Canis lupus familiaris: one gene and its partners. The protein of the gene in region 2 interacts with the protein of the main gene of each other region in a pairwise test. Links are inferred from orthologs where the notes say so. Each region holds a gene or a part of one and is shown on either strand. Other genes may lie near its edges.

Region 1 (3,968 bases), on a different chromosome or scaffold from region 2:
GCTCAAAGCTCAGTGCAGTCTGCTTGGGACTGCCTCTCCCTCTGCCCCTCCGCTTGCACATGTGCTCTCTCTTGCTCTAAATAAAATATCTTTTAAAAAATAGAAAAAAAGGTTGAGGCTACACAGACTGAGCCATCCGGGCATCCTGACCATTACTATATTTAAAAGCTTCCCCACTAAATCTAATACACAGCAAGGACTGAACTCTCATTATCTTGGGCCACTTGCTAACTCTGAGCCGGAGTGTCCTAGACTGAGAAGTGGAAAGAAAAGGGACTATTTCCTGGGCTTGAAGAGATTAGTGGCCACAGGGTATCTCTAGTGCACAGGCTCAAAGTAGGGGGCTGGGAGGAAGGAGGGAGATTTAAAGACAAGCTCAGATTACAGACTGCTCCTCAAGGGCAGGGCATTTGGCATTTGGTTATTCACCTCCAGCCCAATCCACTGCCAGGCCCAGGGACCCCCTAGCCAATGCAAGTCCCCTGCCCCACGCAGCCTGAAGTTGGAGGGGAGGCCGGTGGCCCAGCCTGCCACTATCACCTCTATCAAACTCAGGTTTAGGGGTCCCTGGGTGGCGCAGCAGTTTGGCGCCTGCCTTTGGCCCAGGGCACGATCCTGGAGACCCAGGATCGAATCCCACATCGGGCTCCCGGTGCATGCAGCCTGCTTCTCCCTCTGCCTGTGTCTCTGCCTCTCTTTCTCTCTGTAACTATCATAAATAAATAAAAATTTAAAAAAAACAAAAAAAAAAAAACCTCAGGTTTAGGAAAATGCACGATGCCTAGCATAAACAAGGGCTCATTATTGCAGTTTCCCTGATTTTAAACATTCTAGACTTTGGGGAAGGCCAGAAGCCTTCACTATGCACAGATGTTTATACGCTGGTTTAGTTTAGGGAAATTATTTTCTGCTTTAGGGGACTTTTGAGAACTTGTCTCATACTGACCACAACTGTGTAAGAGCAAAGTTTTAGGAACTTTCCTTCCTAGGGAAGACTTATCTGAGCTCCAGTCCAACTACTTTGTGGGAGGAGCAGCTTGGTGGCCTCACTGGAGCCACAACACATCTGCCAGCTCAGAATGCTTCTTGTCCTATCTCCCGGACACTAATTAATGCTCATCACTGAAGGCAATGATTGCCTAGTTGAGAAGTGACCCAGGAACCAGGCTTCACAATTCCTGATCCAGATCAGTGTTTTCTAAGCTCACTCCATCATAAGACCCAGCTGAGAGCATTGCTCCTGTTCATGCGGATTCCCAGGCCTCACCCAGACCAGCTGAGTTTCCAGGAGGCTCCGGAACATGTATCTTTGGCAAGAGCCCCCAAATAACAGCTCCCACTTATTAAGGAATTAACCTGTGCTAGGTGTTGTGTGCCTTTTAACTCATTCATCTAATCCTCACAGGAACCTAGAAGTTAAGGAATTTTGCACAACGGTCAAAGGACAGGGTCAGAATCCTGTCTCTTACCCTACCTGCAGAGCTCCCAAACCAGGAAGTAGCCTGGCTTCTTGGCACAAAACAGGGACCTAAGACCAGGGAGGGAGTTGCGGGGGGCGGGGGGGGGGGGGGGGCGCTGCAGGTAGCCTCCAACAAACAAGGAGGCCCAAGTTCTTGGAGCCCGGGGTGGGGGTGGGGGGGTCAAGGGGCATCCACTCAAGGTGGCTCCTCTACCAGCTCCTGCCTCTGGAGAGCTGCCTCGCCCAGAAAGCTTCACCCCAGGTCAGGCCTGTGTGCCAAGGGCGGAAACAGGCAGGAGTTCCCAGGGAGCACACAGGCTGGCACCCCATGTAACAGAAGGCTTCCCCCTCACAATCCAGGGTCCCCCCAGGGCAAGGAGCAGACAACACAGGGACATCTGTCTCAACCCACTGTCTCCCACCCCTCCAGACTTCACTCAAGAAGAGCCAACCCTAAGATGTCCACAATCACAGACTGGCAAGCCCAAAGGAATTTTGGGTTCCTTCATTTCTCCCAAAGAGAAAAAGAGCCTTGCTCAACAACCAACCCCCACACCTTCTAGAAGTCCAGCCTACCTCAAATTGCTTTCCTAACCACTTCCCACATGGTCCCACATTGGCATAGCCTTTAGTGAGGCAATAGGAAAGCTTCATTTGGCAGAGATGAAGGATCCCGGGGGCAGGGGTAGGGAGAAATCACATTCTAAAAGCTCAAGAGAGGGATCCCGGGGTGGCTCAGCTGTTTAGCGCCTGCCTTTGGCCCAGGGCGTGGTCCTGGAGTCCGGGGATCGAGTCCCACGTCGGGCAACCTGCATGGAGCCTGCTTCTCCCTGTCTCTGCCTCTCACTGTCTCTCATGAACAAAAAAAAAAAAAAAAAAAAAAAAAAACTTTAAAAAATAAATAAAGGCTCTAGAGGACAGGCCAGAGCCCAGGCCAGCCCCAAGGGGGAGCAGACAGCAGGGACCCAGGAGGGAGTATAAATGGACCCACTTTCCTCTGGCCCTTACTTCTGATGTGGGAGCCCCTGAAGTCGAGAGGCCTGAGATTTTGGGGGGTAGGGAGTGTTGGCAAGGTAACAAGTTGACCAACCTTTACTTTCAAAATACAGAAAAAAGAAAAAAAATCCAACAAGGAACGTAAGCCTCCACCCACCTTCTTCCTCCTCAGGGTCAGAGAGGTCTTACCTGCCCCGGCAGAAGCAAGCGGCCCTAGAAGGCAGGACCAGGCTCAGAGAGCCTGGAGGGACACAAGGCCCCACCACTGGTTTAGGGGTGTTTAGGACCAGTACGAAGTATACCCGGAAGGGTGTCCGCTGCCACAGATCCCTCAGATGGGGGAACTCCCTGGCCCAACCCCAGGGATCACTTCCTGACAGAGGAGGGCAAGCTTGGGGGTGGGGCTTGGCCATTTAAAGAGCCCTTGCAGCTGTTTGTCTCCTTTTTTTCCTATGGGCGGCTCCTCTGGCAGCTGAAGGCACTGCAGCCCTTTCAGCCCTCAGGAAGGTCCCGCCTCAGAGCCAGCTGGCAGCACTGGAACGAGAATTGGGGGCAGGTGCTGAGCTCATCTCTGTCCCATGTGGCTTTAATTTTCATTTCCCCACCTGAGTGACTAGGATCCTGATCCGGCTGCTCCAGAACTGGGTTCCTGCTGCAGCCCACCCTCTAGGAGAAAATAACTTTGTGTTTTTTTTATTCTAGATTCCAAAAATTCAGCCCAGGTCTCCAAATAAATGTTCAACAGAAAGCATAAATACACACACATGTCCTCTTTCTGGCAAGGTGCGGTGTTGGGAGCTTGGGAGCTCTCTCCTCTTGCCCAGTTCCCAGTGCCCAGAGTTAGGGAAGGAGAGCCCAGAAGGTATAAGCTCTGCACGCTAAAGGCTGCAACAACACTCAATATTTCCGTTGCCGGGGGAAGAGTGTGCTCCCTGAGGACCGGAGCGGGGGGCTGGTGGGGCTGGGGTCCTCTGAGTCCAGGCTGAAGAGATCCCTGCCAGTACGAAGGATCTGCTCCTCCAGCTTCTTGTGTCGCTTCATGTCTGAGAGGACCTTGTCTAGGCGGGCCTCCCGTTTCTGGCTCCGGGCGGAACTTCCTGGAGAAGAGGAAGGTAAGAAATGTGGACGGGAGTGAGGTGCTGTGCTCCAGACCTGCCTACATATTACTCATTGCTTAGGGAGCTCATTAAACAGAGATTTTCAGGTCTCTGTCACAGAGGTTGTAGGATTTGAGGTTGGGCCTCAGATGGGGTAAGCAGTAAAGGGCTGACTTACAAGAAGGAGCCAGTAATGTGAAAACCAAGGTAAAGATATCCAGGCAGGGGAAGAGCAAGTGGAAAGGCCCCAGAGCAGGAACAGGGAGGTTTGTTCAAAGGGTATAGAGAGCTGGGGTATGGCAGGGAGAAGGAAAGTTGTGGCTCAAGAAACGACTCTGAGGCCATGATGAAAGTTTGGATATCTTAGGTCAAACGGAAATAAATTATCTTTGGAAACTTTGGCGGCCCAAAAAAAG
Region 2 (3,500 bases):
GAAGATCAAGAAGCCTGGTCTCAGATCTCTGATCTCAACCCCATGAGACAGACACACTACTCATGGCCATGAGGCTAACTGCTCATTGTTTTTCACCTGCCTTTCTTCTTGGACAATTTATTCTCAAGTATAAACCAATAAGCTTATGGATCAATTTTCCTTTAAATCTCATTTGATTACATAAATTCAATAAAAGGGTAACAATTCTTACTGAACTACTCACTGACCTCCTGAAGGCAGCAAGGGCAACAACAGCTGCCACACCTTAGTGGTCTCTCCAGAGTTATAACTTCTTGGCCCATATTATCAAGAATCCTTATGGTAAAAGGCCTAGAAGCTCCACAGCAATTTCGGGTACAGAAATCCGTATCCTCTGCTGCAAAGTAAATCCTCTGTCCAAAGCTGTTCTTAATTTCATATTTGTTATTAGTTTCAAAACCTGTTATGACTAAAAACATAAGAGAGGGAATCATTATGACCATTATACTAAAAGAATATCGAATCTATCCTAAGATACTATATCCTACCATTTGTAGATCATACTTTAACAAAAAGGAAAGGTGTTTAGAGATGATCTAGATAGAGGATAAAAGATAAAGGGAAAAAAGAAGGAGAAGGTATTAAGGAACAGAGAAATTAAAGTCTCTGTGTAAGACAGGGAAAAGAAAACTCCTATCTTCTTAATTCCATAGTCTCATGTCAGAAAGACAGACTGCTTCTGAGGGATGGTACAGTGATGTAGATGGTCATAGCTTGCTTTGTGCATGCAGAAAATATCCACTTGCTTGGTATAGTTTTCTAATATTCAATTATATAAGGGAATATAGGATGGTTGCTATGTTCATACTCTATGAAATATTCTGTTGAATAAATTGGCTTGAGTTTTTTTATATATAATATTCATGGCTTATGTTTTTGCACTGTGTGATGGTGAGTAATGACAGGGCTTACTCTTAATGCACACTTGTGCATTAAGAAAGGGAGGGGGTTAAAATGGAGGGTGAATTAGAACATCACATTGGGCTCAGAGCACCCTGGTTTAAGATTTGCTCTACTGGCCTTTGCACATTTTTTAATCTCCATATTTATGAAAAATGTCTAAATTGTTAAGGAACTCTTTCTTAAACCCTTTTAAAAATAGTGGGTTGGATGAAGGAACACAGCTCTGATCAGTGGTGCAATTTCCAAATATGAGTAGCAATGCTGCCAAAATGGAAAAAAAAAATGGTTTAGCTTAGCGGTAGTTATTCAGAAGTGGGTGATGGGTATTAGACAATGGGAAGAGGTGCTTCGCAACCAAGGCTGCAACTCAATAGGCTATCTAGACCACTGGCATCCTACGTAAATTCTGTACTCTGGAGGAGGCTAATCTTTTCACAAGGGGACAGAGGTATGCTAAATGCTGATGTCCATGTGACATCTTACCAATGGGCTCCTATACTGAATCACACATTGCAAACCTCTCCTTGCTTAGAGCCAGGGGAACATTAACAGTCCTACTAGTCTACAGTCCTCATTAACGTGGGTCATGAGATGCCAGAAAGCCACCAATATATAATGAATGATAGAGAGATACATATGGAGACAAAAAATATTCTCTAATATCTGTGTGGATAGACTTAGTCAGATATAGATGTCCTTCATAAATTCTATGATCATGGCCTCTCTTAAGTATCTTAGCTGGCTTCAGCCAGCCTTTGGATTTTTAAAAGAACCACCCTTGACCTCAACATCTGCCAGTCAAGTGCTGTGTAAGAAAAAAATTAAACTGATTCGTAACATGGAGTCTGTTATCTAAATGTTTCATTAGCTAGCTTAATCTCAAATTCTTAGCTAGTTTATCTGTAAAATGAGATGAATGGGTTTACACAATCTCTAAGTTACCTTCTAGTTACAAAATGAGAATGAAATAAGACTTCTATGGTCATCATTACTGTCTATAAAGTTTTGAATTGGGAAGTGTGTAAGTGCCTGTCATACACTCAGATGGTAAAAATAAATGGAATAATCTCCATCTCTTTATGCTATCATGTTACAATATATACTTTCATTGAGATGAAGAGAAAAGAAGAAAATTGAAGACATCACTATTAGAAAACTGAAGAATAACTATAAATTTTGAACTTACTTTACCTTTCATGATATGTATAAAACTTATACATTTAAAAACTATAAATGGGGAGTGCTTTATGATGTACAGTATCTGGTTTGGTTTGATTTTATGACATCAAAAATAAATTTCTTAAAACATTAAAAAATTCAAAGTACTAATTATCAAGCAACAAAGAATGCCTTTCCAGGGAAAACTTAGTATTAACTAAAAACACGCATATTATAAATATCTAACAACGTACATTATAAGCAATTTATTACTTTTTTTTCATTATAAGCAATTTAAATAAAACAGGCAAAACTAAATCTATTATTCTGCTCTTACTATTCATAGTTATAATTTCTATCATTGGAAACAAACTTTGCAGAGAGATGAAGGACTTAACAGATATATTATAAACTCTAGCTGAGCGTTCATTACTCTTTATATCTAGAAGAAAGACACCATGGTTCATGAAGGCATCTAGGTTCTCTTTCCCCTGGTAAGAGTCTTGAAGCATCTGGTGGCTTCTTAAGTTTACCTTGCACCTCAGGAGTGCTGTACCCAAGGAAATATTTATTTGCCATTCACATGAGCAGGAGTGCTGTTTTAAGAAGCCAGGCCTCCAAGCCTACTGATCAGCATCCTCCAACAATGCATTAGCCCTGCACCCAAGGTGATAATCCACAGCCCACAGAACAAAGGTCTTACAAGGTTCATATGAACTCCTGATATAAATTGTTGGCAAGAATACATTTTCCAAAACATACCCATCCAAATTGAAGGACTTTCCTGGCTTTAGAAATGTACCAAGGTAACTGAACTAGTGCATATGGTTCTGTGTCAGCATCAAGATCATGTCAGGCTGGAGAAAACAGCTGAAATGATTTCTAGAGGGAAGTGGGAGCAAAAGTACTTTTGATGGGCTTCCTTCTAAGTTGGCATGAGGATGGATGCTCAGAATAATGGTGTTTTACAAGTTGACTTCTAATTTCCAGAAATGTGCCACTGATAATTGCCATCATTTCATTATCATGAAGAAAGACATTTGTAAATAATCAGATTTAACTGTTCCACATCAGTGAAAGTGTTATATTTGTGGTTGCTGATATGCTTTTATCTGTAAAAACATCTTCTTTCTAGAAATATGGTCAATAAAATGAATACATACCTTCCAGAAGCTCAATTTGCTGATGAATCAGTATTTGATCTATCTATTATAGTAAAAAAAAAAAAAAGACGATATTTTCATTCTTTTTATACCAAAATTAATATTTGTGTTTTCTATTTTAAGGAACGTATATAATAAATTGTCAATATTTATCAATATTTAATAATATCATGTCTTACTTCTAAACTTTTATACCTAAAGGTATAAAATTAAAGTTAATATATCTTTAATTGAAAA
Region 3 (3,612 bases), on a different chromosome or scaffold from region 2:
GAGTGATGCCACGAGAGACAAGTGGGGTTAGCAAATTACAACCCTCAAAAACGAACTCTGAAGGTGGAGAATCTACGAGGAAAAATATTTTTTTGAAATATAGACATTCTTACATGGTGTCACTATGATGTTAAGAGCACTGACAGACATTCAGCAGCTACCGCGTGGGCTCCTGAAGCATGTAACCGCCAAAAAACCTGTTGATTCCAAGCTCAACTGTCTACTTGACAGTTGAATAAATCTGTTACCAAAGAAACAAAACCAAAACCAAAACAAAAAAGCACCCTAGAAAAACCTTCCAGCATTGCCAGAACTTAAAAAAAAAAAAAAATTGCCAGAATTGAAAAAAAAATCTTGTGTCTAGAGAGGAAAACACCAAATGAAACCATTCAAACTGCAGTAATAAAATATTTGGCCTTTAATCATTTCCGATTAAATTATATTTGAAAGCTGCCCCTCCCCCACCCATACTCATACACAAACACACCAGTTTCTGAACATTTTATGATGGCCAAAGAAGGGGTTTCCACTGGTATGTTTATTAATGGAACTCTTTTTTTTTTTTTTTTTTGGAACTGGTTTTCAATAAGTGGCTATTCCATTTTAGCCTCACATCAGTTCCATCCCATCCTCAATCCTTTTCCTGCTAACAGTTAATGTCTCAACCACGAGGAGGGCTTCCTGGGCCACTCTAGGAATGATCTGCTTGGGGCTTAAATAAGCACAGTTTAGAAAGTTCTCTCTCTCTTCCTCGGGCCCCACTAGGAACGACAAAGGCATTTGCAGAGGTAAATGGTTCTCTTCCTCTCTCGGCTCCTCCTCCTCCACGGCCTCCTCTTCTGTCTCCTCCTCCTCCTCCTGATCCTCCTCCTCCTCCTCCTGGTCCTCCTCCCCCTCCTCCCCCTCCTCCTCCTCCTGCTCCTCCTCCCCCTCCTCCACACAGTCAGCCTCTTCGACCTCCTCCTCTTCATCATCTGAGGCCTCTTCCTCCTCCTCCTCCTCCTGGCTCTCCTCCTCCTTCCCATCACACTCCTCGTTGTCACACTCGCACTCGCACTCCTCCCCCTCCTCCCCCTGCTCCTCCTGCCCCAGCGGTGCGGCGGGAGACCCGAGCTCCCGGTCGGGGTCGGGACTGAAGACGAGCGACGGGTCCTGCACGCCGCCGTACGGAGCGCCCCACGGGCCGGCGTCCTCCTCCTCCTCCTCCTCCTCCCGGTCCTCCTCCTCCTCCCGGTCCTCCTCCTCCCCCTCCCCCTCCTCGCCGCGGGGGGCCTCGTCGCTCTGGGAGGAGCCCCCGGGGGCGGCCTGCTGCCTCCGCAGCGCCTCCTGCTGGCGCTCCAGCTCCTCCTGCCGCATGTCCTCGTAGATCTGGTTCATGATGAACTGCGTGGTGTTGCGCGGCGCCCGCATGCCCGGCGCGCGCCACCCGTACAGGTTGACGGGCCGGAGCAGGGTGCTCAGCGCGGCGGGCGGGCGCGGCGGGGAGGGGCGGCGAGGCGGGCGGCGCGGGCCTCGACCCCGGCGGCCCCAGCGCTTCCTCCTGCCCGGGGGCCGCGCCCAGCCGCGCTTCCAGGGCCCGCGCCAGCACGAGCAGCAGCACAGGCAGACGGGGTGCAGGCCGTACACCCGGATCACTTGCACGCGGCCGGGCCGCCGCCAGAAGCCCCCGGGGGGCGGGCGCCAGGGCCCCCCGCGGCGCCCCCCGTTAGGGGACACGGCCCAGTAGGGCCGTCGGGGTGGCTGGAACCACGGGCCCGGGCCGTGCTGCTGCTTCGGCTGTTTCCAGGGGGGCTCATACTCAGACTTGGGGCCGTAGCGGCGGCGCCGCTTGTAAATCGGGGCGCCCCTGCGCCTTCGGTGGCAGGTGGACCAGGTGCGCAACGGGGCGGGGGGCGCCCAGCCGCCGCCCAGGTTACGAGGCTCCTCCCGTGTGTAGAGGGTCTGGGTCATCGCTCACGGAGCTCGGGGAGGTGGAAGCGGAAGCGCCCCGGAAGCTGCGGTCGTTTGGCCCGAGCCGAGGGTGTGCAGAGCCTCGGGTGTGCAGAGCCTCGTCCGCCTGCGCGGCGGCAGCACGTGCCGGTCTCCGTCCGCTCCGCTCGCTCGCTCGCTCGCGCTTGCTCCGCAGTCTCTCGTCCTGCGCCCCCGAGCGGTCCGGCCCAGGTGGGCTGGGGCTGGGTAAGGCTGGGGAGGGAGGGGGGGACGAAGGTGGTGGTGGGCGACGCACGGGGACACCCGCTCCCGGGGCCCCCCACGCCCGCCTCGGCGGAGGCGCCGGGAGCCTGGGAGCCGGGCAGGCCGGGGTGCGCGTACCTGGCGGCTCCCTCCCCACCCAGGCGCTTCCCCGTCGGGCCCGGGACCCGGCGGGACTGAGCGGGCGCGGGCGGCGCGGCCTTTAAATAGTGGCCGGAGGCCCCGCGTGCCCACCGCGTCCTTGGTTGCCCGGGGCGACAGCCAATCGGGGTCCAGGTCGTTCTCCTTGGGCGACGGGGGGCGGTTCGGGTGGAACCAGGTGCCGCGCGAGGGTTCGCAGGGGGCTTGTGACGCAGGATTTGAAAGGGGGCGACGGGGCCCGAGGCTGGGGGCAGTGCTCCCCAACTCCGAGGACGCTCGGGGCCGGTTCATGTGAAACCTGCGCACCACCTGGGGGTGCGGGGATGAGGCACCTGGGCCTAGAGTTGAACCTCTTGGCAGCGGGGTGTGGGGTTCGGGGTGGGGGACCTACCTTGTACATTGCAAAACATGCATCCTACACTTGGGGAGGTGGAAGGCCTAGAGGGGAAAGTGCCTGGTGTCAGGAAACTGGGCCCCACTCGTACCTTGGGGGCCGTGCACACTCCCCTAGCGCCTGGCAGTTGCAGCACCTCGTTCGTGAAACGCGAGCGCACACCCTGCTAGCCGTGCTGGCTCCCCGGGGGCCCCGGGCACACAGTCCTTAGGCCCGCGGGCTCTGTGAGCTTGGCATCGCCACCGCGCCCCCCAGCTCAGGGAATCCAGAAGTTAGTTTACCCGAGGTGGTCGGGATGAGGAGCTTTGCGGCCAGTATTCATTCATTCACTCATTTATTAAAGATTTTATTTATTTATTCATGAGAGACACACAGAGAAAGGCAGAGACATAGGCAGAGAGAGAAGCAGGCTCCGCATGGGGAACCCAATGGGGGACTGGATCCCAGGATCCCCGGACCACCCCTGAGCCAAAGGCAGATGCTCCACCACTGAGCCACCCAGGTGCCCTGGGGCCAGTATTTAAACCTCAGGCAGTTTGGCCCCCAACCCCAAATTCTTAACCATATGGCTGCGCTGGACTGCCCATTCACCCTTAAATAGGACTTTTGGGATGCGGACACGAAATCCTATGGGAAAACACTTTAGTAATTACGCTATGGCATGCAAATGTCCACTGCTTAAATAAATCATCCCAGGATGTCTGAGGGTGGTGGTGGTTATTCTTGGGAATACAAATATGCCAATGGCCTCTTTTCGGATGTCCCTTTGTCTACCAGATGGCACATACTCTGGGAGCCTTTATAACATTGCGGTGAAGAATATGGGCTTTGATTTACATTAGCATGAACCTACTCTGAATGATACCATAATAGTGGTGGACATATGT

What was found. The genes of interacting proteins can lie anywhere in the genome.
Region 1: the proteins of PLSCR1 (region 2) and MVP interact in a two-hybrid assay, tested with the Homo sapiens proteins (2 studies listed by BioGRID and IntAct). The link is inferred for Canis lupus familiaris from reciprocal best matches to the Homo sapiens genes PLSCR1 and MVP.
Region 3: the proteins of PLSCR1 (region 2) and CCER1 interact in a two-hybrid assay, tested with the Homo sapiens proteins (2 studies listed by BioGRID and IntAct). The two-hybrid records come from large-scale screens. The link is inferred for Canis lupus familiaris from reciprocal best matches to the Homo sapiens genes PLSCR1 and CCER1.

The regions. Positions count from the first base shown.
Region 1 is NC_049227.1:18,042,823-18,046,790, reverse strand, and holds the start of MVP (major vault protein), read right to left. Parts: upstream 2,801-3,968; 5' UTR 2,645-2,800; intron 1-2,644. Other genes in the region: PAGR1 (PAXIP1-associated glutamate-rich protein 1), read right to left, coding at 3,353-3,552. UniProt on the Homo sapiens protein: Required for normal vault structure. Vaults are multi-subunit structures that may act as scaffolds for proteins involved in signal transduction. Vaults may also play a role in nucleo-cytoplasmic transport.
Region 2 is NC_049244.1:42,176,495-42,179,994, forward strand, and holds part of PLSCR1 (phospholipid scramblase 1), read right to left. Parts: intron 3,307-3,500; coding exon 3,264-3,306; intron 449-3,263; coding exon 228-448; intron 1-227. UniProt on the Homo sapiens protein: Catalyzes calcium-induced ATP-independent rapid bidirectional and non-specific movement of phospholipids (lipid scrambling or lipid flip-flop) between the inner and outer leaflet of the plasma membrane resulting in collapse of the phospholipid asymmetry which leads to phosphatidylserine externalization on the cell surface.
Region 3 is NC_049236.1:31,966,000-31,969,611, forward strand, and holds CCER1 (coiled-coil domain-containing glutamate-rich protein 1), read right to left. Parts: upstream 2,443-3,612; 5' UTR 2,311-2,442; intron 2,182-2,310; 5' UTR 1,951-2,181; coding exon 1,273-1,950; intron 901-1,272; coding exon 610-900; 3' UTR 501-609; downstream 1-500. UniProt on the Homo sapiens protein: Regulator of histone epigenetic modifications and chromatin compaction into the sperm head, required for histone-to-protamine (HTP) transition.